5 linked regions of the Macaca mulatta genome follow. The protein of the gene in region 1 interacts with the protein of each later gene in a biochemical or structural test. Links are inferred from orthologs where the notes say so. Each region holds a gene or a part of one and is shown in the gene's direction. Other genes may lie near its edges.

The links.
Region 2: of the proteins of BAD (region 1) and PAK1, one has a biochemical effect on the other in vitro, tested with the Homo sapiens proteins (3 studies listed by BioGRID). The link is inferred for Macaca mulatta from reciprocal best matches to the Homo sapiens genes BAD and PAK1.
Region 3: of the proteins of BAD (region 1) and RAF1, one has a biochemical effect on the other in vitro, tested with the Homo sapiens proteins (2 studies listed by BioGRID). The link is inferred for Macaca mulatta from reciprocal best matches to the Homo sapiens genes BAD and RAF1.
Region 4: the proteins of BAD (region 1) and BCL2 form a complex in vitro, tested with the Homo sapiens proteins (5 studies listed by BioGRID and IntAct, with this or other methods). The link is inferred for Macaca mulatta from reciprocal best matches to the Homo sapiens genes BAD and BCL2.
Region 5: the proteins of BAD (region 1) and BCL2L2 interact in a biophysical measurement, tested with the Homo sapiens proteins (4 studies listed by BioGRID and IntAct, with this or other methods). The link is inferred for Macaca mulatta from reciprocal best matches to the Homo sapiens genes BAD and BCL2L2.

What each region holds. Positions count from the first base shown.
Region 1 is NC_133419.1:10,113,538-10,117,775, forward strand, and holds the start of BAD (bcl2-associated agonist of cell death), read left to right. Parts: upstream 1-1,436; 5' UTR 1,437-1,494; intron 1,495-1,760; 5' UTR 1,761-1,768; coding exon 1,769-1,955; coding exon of another isoform or gene 1,956-1,959; intron 1,960-4,238. UniProt on the Homo sapiens protein: Promotes cell death. Successfully competes for the binding to Bcl-X(L), Bcl-2 and Bcl-W, thereby affecting the level of heterodimerization of these proteins with BAX. Can reverse the death repressor activity of Bcl-X(L), but not that of Bcl-2.
Region 2 is NC_133419.1:77,888,557-77,892,562, reverse strand, and holds the start of PAK1 (serine/threonine-protein kinase PAK 1), read left to right. Parts: upstream 1-1,199; 5' UTR 1,200-1,256; intron 1,257-1,324; exon of another isoform or gene 1,325-1,822; 5' UTR 1,823-1,985; exon of another isoform or gene 1,986-2,128; intron 2,129-4,006. UniProt on the Homo sapiens protein: Protein kinase involved in intracellular signaling pathways downstream of integrins and receptor-type kinases that plays an important role in cytoskeleton dynamics, in cell adhesion, migration, proliferation, apoptosis, mitosis, and in vesicle-mediated transport processes.
Region 3 is NC_133407.1:151,425,517-151,429,028, reverse strand, and holds part of RAF1 (RAF proto-oncogene serine/threonine-protein kinase), read left to right. Parts: intron 1-869; coding exon 870-968; intron 969-2,717; coding exon 2,718-2,871; coding exon of another isoform or gene 2,872-2,890; intron 2,891-3,471; coding exon of another isoform or gene 3,472-3,512. UniProt on the Homo sapiens protein: Serine/threonine-protein kinase that acts as a regulatory link between the membrane-associated Ras GTPases and the MAPK/ERK cascade, and this critical regulatory link functions as a switch determining cell fate decisions including proliferation, differentiation, apoptosis, survival and oncogenic transformation.
Region 4 is NC_133423.1:17,764,148-17,767,659, forward strand, and holds part of BCL2 (apoptosis regulator Bcl-2), read left to right. Parts: intron 1-1,477; coding exon 1,478-1,612; 3' UTR 1,613-3,512. UniProt on the Homo sapiens protein: Suppresses apoptosis in a variety of cell systems including factor-dependent lymphohematopoietic and neural cells. Regulates cell death by controlling the mitochondrial membrane permeability. Appears to function in a feedback loop system with caspases.
Region 5 is NC_133412.1:96,406,145-96,410,179, forward strand, and holds the start of BCL2L2 (bcl-2-like protein 2), read left to right. Parts: upstream 1-1,223; 5' UTR 1,224-1,457; intron 1,458-1,572; 5' UTR 1,573-1,660; intron 1,661-2,141; 5' UTR 2,142-2,149; coding exon 2,150-2,581; intron 2,582-3,200; coding exon 3,201-3,350; 3' UTR 3,351-4,035. UniProt on the Homo sapiens protein: Promotes cell survival. Blocks dexamethasone-induced apoptosis. Mediates survival of postmitotic Sertoli cells by suppressing death-promoting activity of BAX.

The sequences.
Region 1 (4,238 bases):
CCCGTCGGGTCAGGGCAGCGGCCGCTGCAGGGGGCGCCCAATGCCCCGCTCTCCCCCTCCCCAAGCTGGGGGAGGCTCTCCTCCAGTAATGCGGATGGGGAGGGCCTCTGCCTTCTGTCCTTGTAATTCTCGAAAGCTGCCCCCCGCCCCACCCCCCCCACCGCGTCCACTCTCCAGCCTCAAGGGGCGGGAGGAGGCGGATGCCAGGTCCTCAGGCCGCTGATGGGAGAGCCGGCTCAGGTCGTGGGGACCCGGGGCTCCGGCTCCCCGGCTCCCGCTGCTCCGCCCCCTCCTGCGCCTGCGCGGGCGCTGTTCGCTACGCAAATTGCGCAGGGGCCCGACCGGCTCCGCAGTCCAGCGCCGCACCCGGCGTGAAACCGTACGAGAATTGGCGCGAGCTGCGCCGCTGGCGGGCGCCCGGGGTTACGGGAGGCGGCTGGAGGGCGGCCGAATTGCGGGGGCCGTGCCGCATCCAGGGGGTCCCCGGGTGGGCTGTGCCTGGGCGGTCCGCCTTAACTTGTATGGGGGGCCGGCAATTCCCACGCTCCTCTCTCCTATACCCAAATCGGGGTCGTACCACCCAGCCGGGGGCGGCAACGGATTCCCGTCCCTCGGCCTCTGAAGAAAACTTCCGCCCATAGCCAAGATGGCCCCCGGGCCCCGCCCCCGGGCCTGAACCCGCGGAGCCCCGAATCCCCAGCGCGGGCCCGCCCCCCGCCCCGGCGCGCCCGCGGCCCTGCTCACCTGGCCGGCCGCCTGCCAGGCCTGAAGCCCCCACGGACCCTACGGTCCACCCTCACCGGGTCCCCGGCCCTCCTCCCGCGCCCGGGCAGCCATCCCAGCCAGGGAGGAGGTTCCTCTCCTTATCTCCAGTGCCCCCGAGGTGGCGCGGGAGGTGTCCCCCGAGGCGGGCGGCGCGAAGCTTCCACGCCTGGGAGGAGGAGCGGGGAGCGGGACTTTCCGACCGGGCACCCAGTCCAGGCGGAGCGGTAACAATAGCAACAATAATCGCATCCGACGGCTGAGCTTCAGTTGTGGCTGTGCCAAGCGCCTTCGCCCGCAGTAATCACTCCCTTCACAAAGTTTTCACTGGCTCCTGGGGGAGCTGTCACTATCCCCACTTCACTGGGGGGAAACTAAGGTCCAGAGGGGCTGAAGGACTTGTTGGCAGAAGTGGGTCTCCAGGTTCCAAATGGGGACCCCAGAGAATCCCTCTCCTGCTCCCACACACGTCCAAGGTGTGAGGCAGCGAGGATGTGAGCACCAGGGCTGCAGGAGGGAGAAAAAAGGCTGCGGGCGAGTAGCCGTAGGTCCGGCGGGGGGGCGGGGCCGGGCCGGGTTGACCCCGCCTCTGGACCTACCCGAGTGACGTTCCGAGAGGTGATTGGGCCAGGTCGCTGACAGTTCCCGTTGCCCAAGCAACTAGGGCCGGGAGCCCGGGGTGCAGGAGGGAGGCGGCAGGCCCGGGTCAGGGGCCTCGAGATCGGGCTTGGGGTGAGACCTGTGCGCCGTCACCACGGGCGGGGCGGGGCCTGGGTAGGGGCCTGGGTCCACCAGGGTTCTGAGGGGAGATTGAGGCCCTGAGCCGACAGCATCAGCTCCCTGCCAGGCCAGACCCAGCAGACAAATGAGGGCCCGGGAGGCCTGGCGGGCCTGGGGGCCCTAGGGTGGGAGAGGGAGCCAAGGGTACCTACCTCTGCCTTCCAGGGCCACCGTTGGCCCCAGCTGTGCCTTGACTACCTAACATCTTGTCCTCATAGCCCAGAGCATGTTCCAGATCCCAGAGTTTGAGCCTAGTGAGCAGGAAGACTCCAGCTCTGCAGAGAGGGGCCTGGGCCCCAGCCCCGCGGGGGACAGGCCCTCAGACTCCGGCAAGCATCATCGCCAGGCCCCAGGCCTCCTGTGGGACGCCAGTCACCAGCAGGAGCAGCCAACCAGCAGCAGCCATCATGGAGGTAAGTACCCCACCACCTCCACCTGCCGGGTCACCTCACCCCCAGCCCACTGGCTCCCTGCATCCCAGTTGTATCCACGGGCACTGAAGGCTTTGGGTCGGTCCCTAACCTCTCAGAGCCCCAGTTTCCTCTTTTGTAAAACAGAGCAATTAATAACCACCATTGTAGGACTGTTGAGTTAATTAGCAGGAACATATAGGATGCACTTGATTACAGAGCTGGTGCACATTAAAGCTAAAAAATGGTAGCTGCCAGGCATGACGGATCACACCTGTAATCCCAGCACTTTGGGAGGCCAAGGCAGGAGGATCGCTTGAGCCCAGAAGTTCAAAGCCAGCCTGGGTGACTTAGGGAGACTCCATCTCTTAAAATATGTATATATATATATGGCAGCTATTAGTGTGGGGCCAGGACAGAAATTAGTGACAGGCAGGCAGGCAGTGATCCGAAAAGGAAAAGGGGCCTACCTAAGGCCATACCTGCCTGGCATTTCTTTCCTTAGAAGGTGGGGGCTGGAAGACTCCTTGGTGCCCTGCCCCAGGCTACATGCTTTCCCTGGGATTGGGCCTTCCAGCTCCCAGATGTGTTCTTTCTTGCCCCGAGGCTTGCGCCCACAGCAGGCCTGTCCTGGCACAAAGGCCAGGGGCAGGTGACCTCAAGGGGCAGACGGTCCTCCCAGACAGCAGGGCTGTGTGGGGTGGGAAGCACAGGCTCCAAGATGGAAGGATAGACACTGGGGTTCAGTGTCCATTTCTCAGTAGGCTCCACCACCCCTGTGCCCAGCACTGGCCTTGGCACCTGGAACAACAACATATATCTTCTGAACACAAAAACCAGGTCAAGCCAGGTGGGGTGGCCCATGTCTGTAGTCCCAGCAGCTCAGGAGGCTGGCTTGAGCCCAGGAATTCAAGACCAACCTGGGCAACATAGCCAGACCCCATCTCTAAAAATAGAAAACTAGGTCATGTCACTCTGGCACTGAAGCTTAAACGACCTCCTTCCCATTTTCAGGATTAAGAAGGCTTAAGAGGCCTCCCCTCCCTCTCTTACGCACAAACACACACACTCAATTCTCTCAGATTGGATCCCATAGCTTGCTTTCTTTTTTTGTTGTTGTTGTTTTGTTTGTTTTGAGACAGGGTCTCGCTCTATCACCTAGGAGGGAGTACAGAGGTGTGGAGTACAGAGGTGTGACCTCAGCTCACTGCAGCCTAGAACTTCTGGGCTTAAGCGATCCTCCCACCTTACCCTCCCAAGTAACTGGGAATACAGGTGTGTGGACTACACCTAGTTAATTTATTTTTAACTTTTTCTTTTTTTTTTTTTTCTGAGACAGAGTCTCACTCTGCCACCCAGGCTGGAGTGCAGTGGTGCAATCTCAGCTCACTGCAACCTCCGCCTCCTGGGTTCCAGCAATTCTCCTGCCTCAGTCTTTCAGGTAGCTGGGACTACAGGCATGTGTCACCATGCCCGGCTAATTTTTTGTATTTTTAGTAGACATAGGGTTTCACCATGTTAGCCAGGGTGGTCTCTATCTCCTGACCTTGTGATCCGCCCGCCTCGGCCTCCCAAGGTGTTGGAATTACAGGCGTGAGCCACCACGCCCGACATTTTTCATGTTTTCATTAGAGACGAGGGCAGGGGCGGGTCTCCTTTTGTTGCCCAGGCAGGTCTCAAACTCCTGGGCTCAAACAATCCTCCTGCCTCAGCCTCCAGAACAGCTGGGACCACAGGTACATGCTGCCACACCAGCTCATTTTTTATTTTTTGTAGAGGTGGGGTCTTGCTTTGTTGCCCAGCCTGGTCTCGAATTCCTGGGCCCAAGCGATCCTCTCATCTTGGCCTCCCAGAGTGTTGGGATTACTGGCGTGAGCCACCATGCTCGGCCTCCACAGCTTTCTTTAACTTTCTGAGCTTGCACTTGGCTGTTTTTCTGCTCACAAACTCCCCCTGCTTTCTGCCCCCCGCCACACACACTCAGCATTGACTTGTGTCTCAGAGTGAGTGTTCACCATGTGACACAGGTTGTTCCAGTTGCTAGGGGGACCTCGGTGAACCCAAGCATCAGGAATCCTTGCCCTCGTGGAGCTTACGTTCTAGTGACGTGGTGGGTCCATAAGCAAACAAGCACAAAAGTGCATCCTATCATGGATGAGAAGATTTGTATGGGGGCAGCATGTAAGAGTTAAAAGAAGCTGGGCACGGAGGCTTACACCTGTAATTTCAACACTTTGGGAGGCTGAGGCAAGCGGATCACAAGGTCAAGACATGGAGACCAGCCTG
Region 2 (4,006 bases), about 68 Mb from region 1:
GTGCATGTGAGTGCACCCTGGAATAGTGTAGCATTCTATACATGGTTGGTTCCTGCCTTGCACCTTGAGCTGCTGGGATAGGCTCTAGCCACTCTCAACCCTGAACTGGAAAAATTGGGTAAATAATGATCTTGTTTATTTTGAGACACTTATCTTACTTATTTATTCCACTCACTCTGTTTATTCCACTCACTCTGTTTCCTGGCCTGGAGTGCAGTGGCATGATCACAGCTCACTTCAACCTCGACCTCCTCAGCTTAAGTGATCTTCTGCCTTGGTCTCCCAAATTGCTGGGATTACAGGCATGAATCACTGTGCCCAGGCTTTTGTTTTTTGTTTTGTTTTTGAAACAAGGTCTCACTCTGTCGCCCAGACTGAAGTGCAAAGACGTGTGGTCATGGCTTACTGTAGCCTTGACCTCCCGGGCTTAAGTGATCCTCCCACCTTAGCCTCCTGGGTAGCTGGGACTACAGGTGTGTGCTGCCATGCCTGGCTAATGTTTTGTATTTGGGTTTTATTTTTCTGTAGAGATGGGGTTTTGTCATGTTACCTTGGCTGGTCTCAAACTCCTAGGCTCAAGCGATCTGCCCACTTTGGCCTCCCAAAGTGCTGGGATTACAGGCGTGAGCCAAGGCACCTGGTCTGGCCTCTTTTTATTAATCTTTCTTAAATGTATGTATAAGTCACATTGATGTCAATGTTTGATATTAGAGGTGTTTTGTTCTTTAGAAGTTTGGTGATGTCTTGTGACCAGAAATATGCCACAGGAACTTAACTCTTGTTTATATCAATTCACAATCCTATATCAGTTCACAGTAGTTCAAACTTCTCCGTTATAATTTCTTTGTCTTCCTCCCATCCCCGTCCCCTCTCCCACCTCCCACACAAAGAAAACATAATACACGTCTGGCTCTGCGATCACACAACGTCGGAGAGTTTTCAACTTCAGCCCTTGACAACGAGTTTATAGATGCGGTGGTGCTTCGTTAACCTGAAGAGGATCCTCAGCCACGGAAGTTAGCCGTCTTTCTCCATCCTGGCTACACCATTAGCCCTCCCAGAAATAGTCCCAAAATTGTCTGGTAGAAATGCTGCACGGAAACTGCCGGCCAAGGACAGCGGACCGAGAAGAGTGACGCGACGCGATGACGTCACGCAGCAGCCGGGTGATTCCCCAGCCTCTGGCGTCACGCGCCGATGACGCAATCCCAGGCGTTCGCCCTTCTGCAGGCCAGGGTTTGGCCTCGCTCCTACGGGTCGGTCAGGCGCTCCCCGCCCCCTCCCACCTGCGGGAGGCGGGGCGGGCACGGCTCCGCCGGAGCCACCGCCGCGCCGGGGAGGGGGAAAGGCCGGGGGGGAGGGAAGGGGGAAAGGGCGGGGGTAAGGGGGAAGAAGGAGGAGGAGGGGAGCCAGTGAACTAGGCGGTCAGGCCCGCCGAGCGGCGTACAATAGCGCAGTTGTAGGCGGGGGAGGCGGCCCTGCCGCGGCTGCAGCCGGAGCCGAAGGTGGCGGCTGCACAGTAGACGCCCCCTCACGGCTTCCCCCACACGCTCCCGCCCCCTCGTTCGCCTATTGCGCCTCCCTCGCAGGCTCCGCCGTCCTCCTCCATAGACGCTTTCCCCCTCGGACTCTTATTCCCTTTTTCACGGAGCCCCGCGCTCTCGTGAGCCCCCTCGAAGAACCTGGTCTCCGCATCCAGTTCCCATCTCCTGCCTCAGAGGCCATCCGAGCTCTTCGCACCTCGCCCCTCAGCCCCCCACCGTTGCCCCCGCCCCGCGTCGCCTCGCTCCCTGCCGCCCCCCCATCATCCCTTCCCTCGCAGTTCCCCTGTCCTGAGGGGATCCCCGGCACTGGCGGCGCGGCGGCGGCAGGAGGGAGAAAGTGAAGCGGTAGCTCGCACACACTCGCGCCCTCACTCCCGGCTCGGCGGCACCCACCATCGGGAGGAGGAGGAGGAGCCGAGAGGAGCTGAGCGAGCGCGGAAGGTGAGAGCGGGCCTCCCGCCCGGTACCCCTCGCGTCCCGGGCTGCCAGGGTTGGGGCGCGGGGGTGCGGACGGGTGGAGTAGGGGTCTGGGCCCATTTATCTCGCGTGGCGGGGCCGGGCGCTTGGGCCGGCGGAGGCTCCAGGTAAGGTGAGGCGGGCGTCGCCCAGCGAGGCCCGCTCCCGTCGGGCCAACAAAGGCCCCCCGTGCGCTCACCGGCGGGGTCGCGGGTCTCAGACGCCGGGCGATCGAGAGACCCGGGAGAGGGAAGGGGCGGGGCGGGGCCAGGCCAGGCTGGGGCCGGGAGCCCCCACGGGTACCGGTCCGGGACCGAGTCCCTTCCGAACTTTGCAGTCCTGCAGAGCTCACCCTGTCCCACTACGAGGAGGCACAGCAAAGCGGCGCCCCAGTTCCTTCTGCATGGAATAAATGACCCCTTCTAGGCTTGGACAGTCACCTTTAGGGTTTTACTCCCTGAAAAATAAGGGCTGGTAGGACTTGACTTACGCAGCCCCTCCCCCACCGCGGAATATTCTGTAACTTGGGAAGTGAAAAACAACCGGGAAAGGAGATTTATAGTTATTTTATGTTCATTAATCCATTTGAAAAGACATGATTGTTGTAGTCTTCGCTATCCTATTTCAACAATACACATTACTGGGAATGTTTTGGAAGAATACTTGAGAAGTAGTGGGTTGTGAGCAACGTCCTTGGTTTTTAAACCCCTTGGATAATTGTTCTACTCTTAACAAAAACTGAACAGTGAAGGGAAGGGTTAGTTCTGTGGTTACTAATAAAAATTCAATTCGTTAGTCTTGACTTTAAGAATTGTTCTTGAGAAAAATCTTTAATTTTGCCTCCTACATTTGTGGGTTCTCTTTCAACTCTGTCAGGAGAAAGTAGGAATTATCAGTACAGATACCTCATCTCTTACCTTGTGGCTTCATCTACTTCTTGTGTGACCTTGAGCAGGTCACTTCCAGCCTTAAAAGCTCCAGAAGTTTGGTTTTATGCCCCAAAACGGGCAGGTAGCAAGCACCAACTCAGCTTTCAAGAGTCCACTGAAGAATTCCCACACTGTGAAATCTTTGCTGGCCTCCATCCTGTCCCTCCTCTCAGACAGAACTGACTTTTTCCCATTGGCCCGGTGAGATTTCTACCACAGCACTTACAACATTTTGGTTCCTATTTGGAAAATTCTAAATCACGTGCGTAGAACCCCCCCCCCCCCAACTAGCAACTATGCCTTTCAAAAAGGGTTTTGGGAACATTGACGCTGAAAACTTCCCATACTTTCCCTGAAGTTTATCCATACGCTTAACTACATGAACTCATGTGTCTGCCTTGGTGAATTTGCTAATTCAGTCAATTCATTTATCCAACATTACTGGAGTTTGGAGAGCTACTATGTTTCAGGCCTCTTGCTAAGGCTATGGGGATTCAGTCTATTAAGATATTCCCTGTCTTCAAAGAGCTCAAAGTCTAATGGGTGAGGTAGACAAGTAAACAATGAAGGTCTGCCCTAATCTCTGGGGGACTCCAGTTGTACAGGTAGTAGTGTGCAATAATTGAGGCTGCTGGACCTGTTTTACAAGTCTTCTCTTGGCCAAAGTGAGTCCTGCAGGGAAGGTGACCTGCCTCATCCATAAGAGGGCATTTGGTAAAAAGCTTGTTCAGTTCAATTCAATATACATTTACTAAGCGCATGTTTTGAGTCCCTGTGCTAGGTTTGAAGGAAGCAGTGCCTCAAAGGAAGGTACTGTGCATCCAGAAAGATTTCCGTGAAACAAAACCTTACCACATCAATGCCCCCTACCCCTGACTCTTCATATTCTGAAGATAAATTTCAGACTAACATGGAATAAGAAACTCTCAGGCATCAGACCACTGCCTGCCTTTGCAGCCTCACTTTCTGTGGCTCCCCTGCCACTCTCATCTTCGCTTTTGCATGTTCTGTTTTCTTCCTGGATGCTTCCCTTCCACCCTTTACCTGCCTGTGGAGGTGTCCTTGTTGGGCCTTTGC
Region 3 (3,512 bases), on another chromosome or scaffold:
ACAGACGTATGTCAGAATCTCACTATTGTCATTAACCATAACCACAACTGAGTTTTCGTTCATGCGTCTGAATAAAGGGGATATTACCTTCCTTGCATTGTTCTTATGAGGCTTGCTGACAAGTGCCCAGCTCATGGAAAGAAGGTGCCTAATTACTCACTTTTCTGTGATTTATTCCTCCTATTTTAGTCTTTTTATCTATTTTCAAGATGGAATGTTTCCAGAAAAGCTCTGTGTGACATAGTTTGTAAAATGTTCTACTGTAGTTTGAAAAACATTATTTTGATATAGCTAGACATAGGACCAGTATTTCCTAGAAATGCACACTGGGCCGGGCGTGGTGGCTCACGCCTGTAATCCCAGCACTTTGGGAGGCTGAGGCGGGTGAATCACCTGAGGTCAGGAGTTCGAGACCAGACTGGCCAACATGGTGAAACCCTGTCTCCACTAAAAGTACAAAAATTAGCTGGGCGTGGTGGTGTGTGCCTGTAATCCCAGCTACTTGGAAGGCTGAGGCAGGAGAACCCAGGAGGCGGAGGCTGCAGTAAGCCAAGATTGCTCCTCTGCACTCCAACCTGGGCAACAGAGCGAGACTCCATCTCAACAAAAAAAAAGAAAATAAAAAAGAAAAAGCACACTGGAGCCCGTATGTTTATTGGCAGGTCAGTATTATTCACATTCAATAATCATTCAAACCCAGTTATTTGGAAATTGTTCCCTTTATTCTAGGTAATGTAAAACAGTTGAGGAAAATGTGACTGGGAAAAGTTCAGTTTTAGTAGCTCTGAGTTTGCAAAAGCAAGGCACGCTGATTGTCTCTGTAAGATTACTGTAAGCCTAAAAACCAGTCTTTCCCTGCTTTTGTTTAGATTGTTTCCAAATTCCACTATTGGTGATAGTGGAGTCCCAGCACTACCTTCTTTGACTATGCGTCGTATGCGAGAGTCTGTTTCCAGGATGCCTGTTAGGTAATTTTTTTACCTATAGCTTTTCTTTTAGAAAGTTATTGGGGGGGGGAGGTGGGGTTGGAAGCTCAAAGACAAAAAATAAGAGTTTCTTCACATTCCCTCCTCTCTATGTGGAAATCCCTTGCTGCTTCTGTGGAATGTGATACTGGTGGTACAGCAAAATGTAGAAATTTCTCTTTATGGATCTGTAGATCTTATATTCTGGAAAGTGACTTTGACTATAGTTTCTTCTGTTATCGTAGCATATTCCTTAATATGTCATTACATTTTAAAGAGCTTGAGATTCTACTTTCCTCAGTATGTACTGAGTTCAACCTCAATGGAAAGGGTCCCAAAACTTGATACAGTGATTCAATAAAAATAAAACCCTTAACTTTGAAATGCATGTTATGGCCTTGCATTTGCTAAAACCATGTATTTAAATAGACTAGTGTCTTTAAAAAACATTTAGTTATATTTTCAGCATAAATATTGTTTCTAATGTGTCTCTGAGTTTGCATATAACTTGTCTTTACTCTGTTTTCCAGCTTTACAATCAGTTTTGTTCAGTTCACATATTGCTCAGTGTTACACACATGAATTTGAAACCTAAAGTAAAATCTACATCCAAAATATCTTACTTTAGGCCAGGCATGGTAGCTCACGCCTGTAATCCCAGCACTTTGGGAGACCGAGGTGGGCGGACCACTTGAGGTCAGGAGTTCCAGACTAGCCTGGCCAACCAACATGGTGAAACTCCATCTCTACTAAAAATAACAAAAAACTGGCTGGATGTGGTGATATGCGCCTCTTGGTCCAGCTACTTGGGAGGCTGAAGCAGGAGAATCTTGAACCTGGTAGGCAGTGAGCTGAGATGGCACTACTGCACTCCAGCCTGGGTGACAGAGCAAGACTCTGTCTCCAAAAAATACACACACACACACACACACACACACACACACATAATGTGTAATCAGATAATGTTTAATGTGAAACTACTATGGAAATTATTAAAGGCAGCATATGTCAGAATAAGGAATTTGCATATGTCTGGATATATATTTGTGTATGACTTTTATTTTTCTTGATAATTTGAAAAGCAGATCTGACCAAGAGTTTGTAGTTACCTCTGAAGATTAGAAGAAACCAGGCCTCTGAAGCCATAAACAGAATTATGTGGGAAGGCATTTTTTCAAGACAATAGAACAATTTCCCTTAGAAAAGCTGGCCTTTTATCCCTTTAATTCATACATGGATGTTAACTGAATCTGAACAAACCTCAAACTAATCTTTAGAACAAATAATGAAAACGTCTGGCCTTTTTGCAGACATGCTCAGCACGTCTACTTATCTGTTTAAAATCTTAAAGTTCTCAAATTTAGTCTCTAAATTAAACTGGGCACGTTTCAACTAGCTTAATAAGTGGTAGTGTGGTTGTCAAATGTTAATCTATTCTTTCCCGGAGAAGATGTGAAAATTTGGAGTATTCGGGTGGCGCTTTATTAAAAAAAAGAAAACTTACAATACATTCTCTTTTTCATTGAATTCCCAATACATATATTATTTCCTGTTCCAAATTTTGTATGCAAAAGCACCCAGACTTAAGATAATTTTTAGATGTCACATATTTGAAAGAATCAAACATTGTGTCAAAGGTTGTACAGGTAGAGTTTGCCCTTAAGCATCTTAATCAAGTAGGTAGTTGAAAGACTTCACCAGTATGAAAGCCTAAATGCCAATCATGGAATTTTCTTTCTCCTCCTTGCCTAGTTCTCAGCACAGGTATTCTACACCTCACGCCTTCACCTTTAACACCTCCAGTCCCTCATCTGAAGGTTCCCTTTCCCAGAGGCAGAGGTCGACGTCCACACCTAATGTCCACATGGTCAGCACCACCCTGCCTGTGGACAGCAGGATGATTGAGGTAATAGGGCCCCTTGGGGGTGGTAATGTCAGTCAATTAATGGGGTGAGGGTGATATTTATTTCAGAGAGTTTTGGGTTTCAAATCTGATCAAAGAATGTTGCAACACTTTCTCAGGTCTCTGGACTTTTACAGTTTATTTTATATCCATAATATCTTTAGACTGGCTGAATAGTCTGGTTGGTATATCATTCAAGTGGAGAACTAAAATTTCCTGAAAAATATGTTAACATTTGAACTCTTCCCATTATCAGATTTGAATAGGCTTTTAATGAACGAGTGCCTAAGATATTTAAAGAGGAGTTTAATTTTGGTGTGGGACAGAAAATAACAGTGATGGAGAACTACAGATTCTCTGGAAGACTTTTGTGATTTTATTTAGAAATAAAAGGGTGGAGTCCTAGGATTTAATAAGCAGGTATTTAGGGAGATGTCCAAGTGCCCAAAGCTAGTGTTTTTGAACTGCTTTTTCTTTTCTTGGCTTTTTGGTTATGTCCTATTGGTTTAATTTGCTTTCTGCTTCATCTTTAATAACAACTGAATACACTTAAATACTTCCTTTGTTCTTTATTCTTCTTTATTTCTCATTGCTTTGGACTAGAATAACAGCCTGAATGCTTCTCCCAGGGCGTGGTCCAGACG
Region 4 (3,512 bases), on another chromosome or scaffold:
GTCAGGGTTGTTGGGAATAATGTGGAACTATTCTTGTTTTCTTCATACCTGAATAAATCAGAACTAAAAAGAATTCCTTTACTGATGTATATATTCAAATATTCAGTTGTCCAAATACTCATTGGACCCAAATGTGACACATAATCTCCCCCAAATCTAGGAAATGATCAACCAGTGATTTGCCCAATCCAAGCTGATCCAGAGAGTGGACTCTGCTACAACACTACAGACCTGACTTGAGATGGAGAGATAGGAATGGAAGGGAGACACCCTCTTTGTCTCTCGGACCTGCACGTCCAGTGACACACCCCTGATCTCATGCCTTGTGAGATCCACAATTTGAGTGTGGTCGTTCAGTCTAGCCACCCCCAAGAGAAACCCTCTCCCTTTCCCTGGGAGAACCTTGACCTTAGAGGCTGGCACTGCACCAGTCGAGGCCGCCCTGGCCCCTCCACCGCCTGAGCCCTCGGTCGACCAAATGCTCTCACAGAGCTGCCGTTAGCCATGCCAGGGCATCAGCAGAGAGAAGGGTGCTGGTTTCTATCTGGGTTCAAAGCCTGGCTATGCCATTTGTTAGAAAAGTCTCTTATTCCCTGTGATTCTCAGCTTTTTCATCTTCAGACAGAAACAAATAAAATAACTTAGTAACATTGGTACAAAGAATTAGCTGGATGAGATAGCTCACAACTTTAATCCCAGAACTTTGGGAGGCTGAGGCAGGAGAATCACTGGAGCCCAGGAGTTCAAGACCAGCCTGGGAAGCATAGTAAGACCCCATCTCTACAAAAAATTTTAAAAATTAGCCAAGCATTATAATCCTAGGTAGTCAGGAGGCAGAGGCAGGAGGATCGCTCTTGAGCCCAACAGTTCAAGACTGCCGTGGGTCATGATTGCACTACTGCACTGCAGCCTGGGCAACAGAGCAAGACTCTAGCTCTTAAAGAAAAAAAAAAAGTTTGGTACGAAGATTAAAATAATGTATGTCAGACATTTGATAAGACGTCAACACTCAATCAAGGAGTGTGACAGTCATCATCACTGCTACATTTTATTACTTTTGTGGATGGGCGTGCTAGCTAAAACTGCAGAACCTCTAATATTTTCTAACTGCCTCCGCTGTTTTTCTCCTCGGCCCTTAGCACTCTCTCCTACACCATGTGATAAATTATATTCATTGCTGTCTATACTGTTCCACTAGATGGAAGCTTCGTGAAGTAGGAACTTTTAGTCTATTTTATGCACTGCTGTATCTCTAAGATGCCTGGCATGTAAATAGGTTCTCAATAAATATGTCTTGAATTAATGAAAACAGTGGTTTCTGAATCATGGCCTCCAAAGAGCGTTTGCCTTTTCCCCTCTCGCCCTTCTGAAGGTGCCCAGGCTGCCCTGGCAGGATACCTTTTTCTCTGTGGGGTGGCATTCTCTGCTCTCTTTCTAATACTCTTTCTTTTTCTTTCCTCCTCTACCCCAACTGCAGGACGCCTTTGTGGAACTGTACGGCCCCAGCATGCGGCCTCTGTTTGATTTCTCCTGGCTGTCTCTGAAGACTCTGCTCAGTTTGGCCCTGGTGGGAGCTTGCATCACCCTGGGTGCCTATCTGGGCCACAAGTGAAGTCAACACGCCTGCCCCAAACAAATATGCAAAAGGTTCACTAAAGCAGTAGAAATGATATGCATTGTCAATGATGTACCATGAAACAAAGCTGCAGGCTGTTTAAGAAAAAATAACACACATATAAACATACACACACACAGACAGACACACACACACACACACACACACCAATTTTCAGGCAAAATGTCGAATCAGCTATTTACTGCCAAAGGGAAATATCGTTTATTTTTTACATTATTAAGAAAAAAAGATTTATTTATTTAAGACAGTCCCATCAAAACTCCTGTCTTTGGAAATCCGACCACTAATTGCCAAGCACCGCTTCGTGCGGCTCCACCTGGATGTGCTGTGCCTGTAAACACAGATTCGCTTTCTGTGTTGTTGGCCAGACTAACTCACCATTTGAAGAGCAGATGTATGGAAAAAGGACCTGATCGTTGGGGAAGCTGGCTTTCTGGCTGCTGGAGGCTGGGAAGAAGGTGCTCATTCACTTGTATGTCTTTGCCCTGGGGGCTGTGATATTAACAGAGGGAGGGTTCCTGGGGGGAAGTCCATGCCTCCCTGGTCTGAAGAAGAGACTCTTTGCATATGACTCACATGACGCATTCCTGGTGGGAGGAAAAGATTTGGGAACTTCAGATGGACCTGGTACCCACTGAGATTTCCACACCGAAGGACAGCGATGGGAAAAATGCCCTTAAATCATAGGAAAGTATTTTTTTAAGCTACCAATTGTGCCGAGAAGCATTTTAGCAATTTATACAGTATCATCCAGTACCTTAAGCCCTGATTGTGTATATTCTTATATTTTGGATACGCACCCCCCAAATCCCAATACTGGCTCTGTCTGAGTAGGAACATAATCCTCTGGAACTTGAGGAAGTAAACATTTCGGTGACTTCAGCATCAGGAAGGCTAGAGTTACCCAGAGCATCAGGCCGCCACAAGTGCCTGCTTTTAGGAGACCGAAGTCCGCAGAACCTGCCTGCATCCCAGCTTGGAGGCCTGGTCCTGAAACTGAGCCTGGGCCCTCACTGGCCTCCTCCAGGGATGATCAACAGGGCAGTGTCGTCTCCGAATGTCTGGAAGCTGACGGAGCTCAGAATTCCACTGTCAAGAAAGAGCAATAGAGGGGTGCGGCTGGGCCTGTCGCCCTGGGGCCCTCCAGATAGGCCCATTTTCACGTGGAGCATGGGAGCCACAACCCTTCTTAAGACATGTATCACTGTAGAGAGAAGGAACAGAGGCCCTGGGCCCTTCCTAGCAGAGGGACACGGTGAAGGCTGGGAACGTGAGGAGAGGCAACGGCCATGGCCCATTTTGGCCATAGCACATGGCACGTTGGCTGTGTGGCTGTGGCCCACCTGTGCAGTTTAAAGCAAGGCTTTAAATGACTTTGGAGAGGGTCTTAAATCCTAAAGGAAGCATTGAAGTAAGGTGTCATGGATTAATTGACCTATGTCTATGGAATTACATGTAAAACATTATCTTGTCACTGTAGTTTGGTTTTATTTGAAAACCTGACAGAAAAAAGAAAAGTTCCAGGTGTGGAATATGGGGATTATCTGTACATCCTGGGGCACTTAAAAACAATCAATGGTGGGAAACTATAAAGAAGTAACAAAAGAAGTGACATCTTCAGCAAATAAACTAGAAAGTGTTTGTTGTGTTTTTTTCTTCCAGTTTAGAATCAGCCTTGAGACATTGATGGAATAACTCTGTGGCATTATTGCATTATATATCATTTATCTGTATTAACTTTCGAATGTACTCTGTTCAGTGTTTAATGCTGTGGTTGATATTTCGAAAGCTGCTTTAAAAAAATACATGCATCTCAGCGTTTATTTTTTTTTTTTAATTGTATTTAGTTATGGCCTATACACTATTTGTGAGCAGA
Region 5 (4,035 bases), on another chromosome or scaffold:
TTAGTAGAGATGCGGTTTTGCCATGTTGGTCAGGCTGGTCTCAAACTCCTGGCCTCAAGTGATCCACCCGCCTTGGCCTCCGAAAGTGTTGGGATTACAGGTGTGAGCCACCAAACCCAGCTAGTTGTTACTATTATTGCTGCAGAAAAGACCTTACTTCTCAAGTGACCATAAGGGCAGATGGTAATACAGAGGCTTGGTTTGGAGGTAGAAGCAAAGGGTACTAGCAGAAGAGGAGAACTGGGTCGCCTCTTTCTGGCCTTTGGTTGGGTTGCTTTTTAAATGGAGCTGAAGAAAGTGCCAGATCCAAGAGCCCAGGGGGCTGGCTGTGAGTGCTCTCATGTGGATCAGCTGTGGTCAGATTGCTTCACACCTGTGACCCGCCCTGTATAAATATACTGCCATGTATAAATAATGGCCCCATGTATATGTAATCTGGAAGGATAAACATCAAGCTTAACAATGGCAACCTGCAGGGAGGGAAGTGGAATTGGGTGTGTATGTGTGTGTGTGTTTGAGAACCTGTATTTTATTACTCCATACCTCTTTATTGTTTGATTTTTTTCACAATGAGAATTAGTTCCTGTGTTGGGTAAAAAAAAAAGAAAAGAAAGAAAGAAAAAAAACCACTAAAATCAATCTGATTACAAAAGAAGATGAATTAAAGAAAAGTACCGGAAGAAACTGCTTGTGATCCAAGTCCTGGCTCCTTGATGCCTGGCTGAAGCCCAGCCCACAAAGACAACACTGGGTTAAAGGTCCTGGAGAAAAGATGGGAAAGGTTTGGTGTCTGTGTAGTGTCTGCTAGTCCCAAAAGGGTAAGGCACCTAGTAGACGGTTCCCAGCTTAATGGGAACTGCTCCTGTTTTCCAGGCACACAATTCAGGGCTGGAAAAGTTCAACAAGTGCATGGAACATCGGAAACCTCCTGGAAATGCTAAATTTGCCCCAAGATGTCCTGAAGTCCGGCATATTTCTCTGGGCAGCCTCGAGGCTCAGGAGCCCAGCCCAGCCCAGCCCACCGTGCCCTCTCAGGCAGCCCTTCACTGCCTTCAGCAGCCCTCCCTCTTCCTGAGTAGTGGCCCTTCGCAGGCCTGCGTCCCAGCCCCGCCCCTCTCTCTGGACGCATCTTTGGGCCCCATCATCACCCGGCGCCGGGCCCTCCCTCTGCCCCCCCTTTCTCCTCCCTCCTTCCTTCCCTCCCTTCCTCCCTCTCTCCCTCCCTCCCAGCTCCTGCACCAGGAAACGGCCCGGATCCCGGCAGCGGCCTGACCCGTGAGATCCCTAACCTGGCAGGCGGGCGGGGTTGGAGACTGGCTGAGGTGGGGGTAAGGGAGGAGTTGGGCCTTTGGGCTGCACTAGGGGGAACCGCGAATACAGATGGTGTCGGCAGGAAGCCCTTGGCCCTGGGTTTCCCGGGAGGACAGTCATTAAACATGGATTCGGCCACACAGCTGGTAGAGCGTTGGGGGCAGGGGCCCAGGCCCAGAGCTGCAACCCTAGCCGTTCCCAGGCCAGAACCTGATCCCTGGCCTTCCCCTCCTGGTTCTGATCTCCCCCTCCCCTTTCCAGAGCTCCACGCTGGCCGGGAGGATGAAAGGCCCCAGCTGGGGGCTCCTTGCCACCAGTGCTGTGTCTTAAGAGCTGCCATCCCGGCTGGGTGAGTGTCTCCTTCCTTTCTCTGTCTGGAGTAAACCATTGCGTCTCCCACCTTTCTCTTCGGCCCATCTGCTCCCCCTCATCTTGTGCCTCTGCCAACATCTTTATATCTTGCATTTGGGGAGGTCCTAAGCCCCTTCCTCTAGCCAAGGAGGTGTGGACTAAGGAGGCCCAGGGGTGGGAGGGTTGTAGGGGTGTCACAGAGCTGACGTTGTCTTATTATGAAAAGAATCTAAAGTATCTCTAAACAGAAAATGTACTTGTTTTAAATGTAATTTGGCATATTAGGAATGTAATGGCCAGCCCCTCACAGCCTGGTCTCATATCATGACTTAATTCCCTTGTTCTTGCCTCTCCCTGTCCAGTGAGCTCTGAGCATTTCTTCTCTCCTCCTCATCTCACTGGGTTGGTCAAACCAGAAATGCCCCTTCTGATTCTCTCTCCATATATTCATGCCAGTGTTTCATCCTTGCCTCTTATAGCTGCCCGGATGGCGACCCCAGCCTCGGCCCCAGACACACGGGCTCTGGTGGCAGACTTTGTAGGTTATAAGCTGAGGCAGAAGGGTTATGTCTGTGGAGCTGGCCCCGGGGAGGGCCCAGCAGCTGACCCGCTGCACCAAGCCATGCGGGCAGCTGGAGATGAGTTCGAGACCCGCTTCCGGCGCACCTTCTCTGATCTGGCGGCTCAGCTGCATGTGACCCCAGGCTCAGCACAGCAACGCTTCACCCAGGTCTCCGATGAACTTTTCCAAGGGGGCCCCAACTGGGGCCGCCTTGTAGCCTTCTTTGTCTTTGGGGCTGCACTGTGTGCTGAGAGTGTCAACAAGGAGATGGAACCACTGGTGGGACAAGTGCAGGAGTGGATGGTGGCCTACCTGGAGACGCGGCTGGCTGACTGGATCCACAGCAGTGGGGGCTGGGTAAGAAGCTTCTCAATTGCCGCTCTGCACATCCCTCTGCAAAGCTGGTTTCCAGGGGGAAGATGGGAGCTCTGATTGGAGACTGAGGCAGCTATGTTGGGAATGAGGTGCGGGGCTGAGTCTCCCCGTCTGGGTGGAATCAGATTGAGAGATGCCTGGACTCTGCACTCCAGGGCTGCCATGCAGTCAACACTGGATGGGCTCATGGTCCCAAGCAGAGGACAGAATCCACACCCAAGGAGTGCCTGCAGGGGAATGTTGTCAGGGACTTTTTGCACCTGAGTCATGGTGTGGGAGGTGGGGAGGACCAGGGATGGGTGGTGGTCAGGCAAGCCTTGGCAAAGGATGCTAGTTCTGAGCAGAATTTTTCGCCAAGGAAAGGATGGAATTCACTGGAGGCAGAGTGGGCGGCAAATGAACCAGTCTCTCAGGGTGGGGGTGCACCTGGGGGGATCAGAGGGGCTTGCAGCCAGAAGAGCTTTGACCAGAGAGGAGCTGGGTATGGGGTAGTGTTGGCAGTGGATGGAACTGGAACTCTTCCTCTCCTCTTCTGTCCACTCTTTCCTCTCCTGATATCCCTTTCTCCTTCTTTCTCTCCTACTTCCCTTCTCTCCCACAGGCGGAGTTCACAGCTCTATACGGGGACGGGGCCCTGGAGGAGGCGCGGCGTCTGCGGGAGGGGAACTGGGCATCAGTGAGGACAGTGCTGACGGGGGCCGTGGCACTGGGGGCCCTGGTAACTGTAGGGGCCTTTTTTGCTAGCAAGTGAAAGTCCAGGGCCAGGTGGGGCTAGGTGTGGCTGGGGGCCAGGAGAGCAGGAACAGAACAGAGAAATGCCCTTGGAAGAAATGGAGTTGGTGGATGGGTGGGCATGGAACAGGATGGGCAGGGGAAGGGTAGTGTGTGAGGCAGCTGAGTAGGCCAGGTAGGCGATTGGAAGAGTGAGCAGGACACATAGGTGAGGGAAATGTTTTGGCAAGTTTAGGGACGCAGGAGATGGAGTCGATCCAGGGCTGGGGGATGTGGGAGGGATCACACCTATAGGTGTGGGCACATGAAATGACCTGGAACTTGGTTTGCAGCCCTGAGGAAGGTGGACTTGCATAAGCAGTTGTATTCCATTAGATGAGTGGGATTTGGGGAACGCAGAAGGCACATCCTTTTGGAATGGAAGCTTGGGGGTTCTCAGGTGATAGGGAGAGGTGGCTGTAACAGTGGGCTGCTTGGACACACGTGTGCATGTGCACGCATGCTGGTGTGCATGCTGGGCTGCCTGGCAAATCTGGTGGTGGTGGGATTCCTCAAGGAGAAAACATTCCCTCTTGCAATGGCAAGAACTAGGGGCAGTTCTCTGTCCCTCCTCCCAACCCCTCCTTTCCCCTGCCCTTGTCCTGATGCCTCAAGGCTTAGAGAGAAACATTGTATCCAGACCGAGGGCTCTGCTGCTTCTCTCC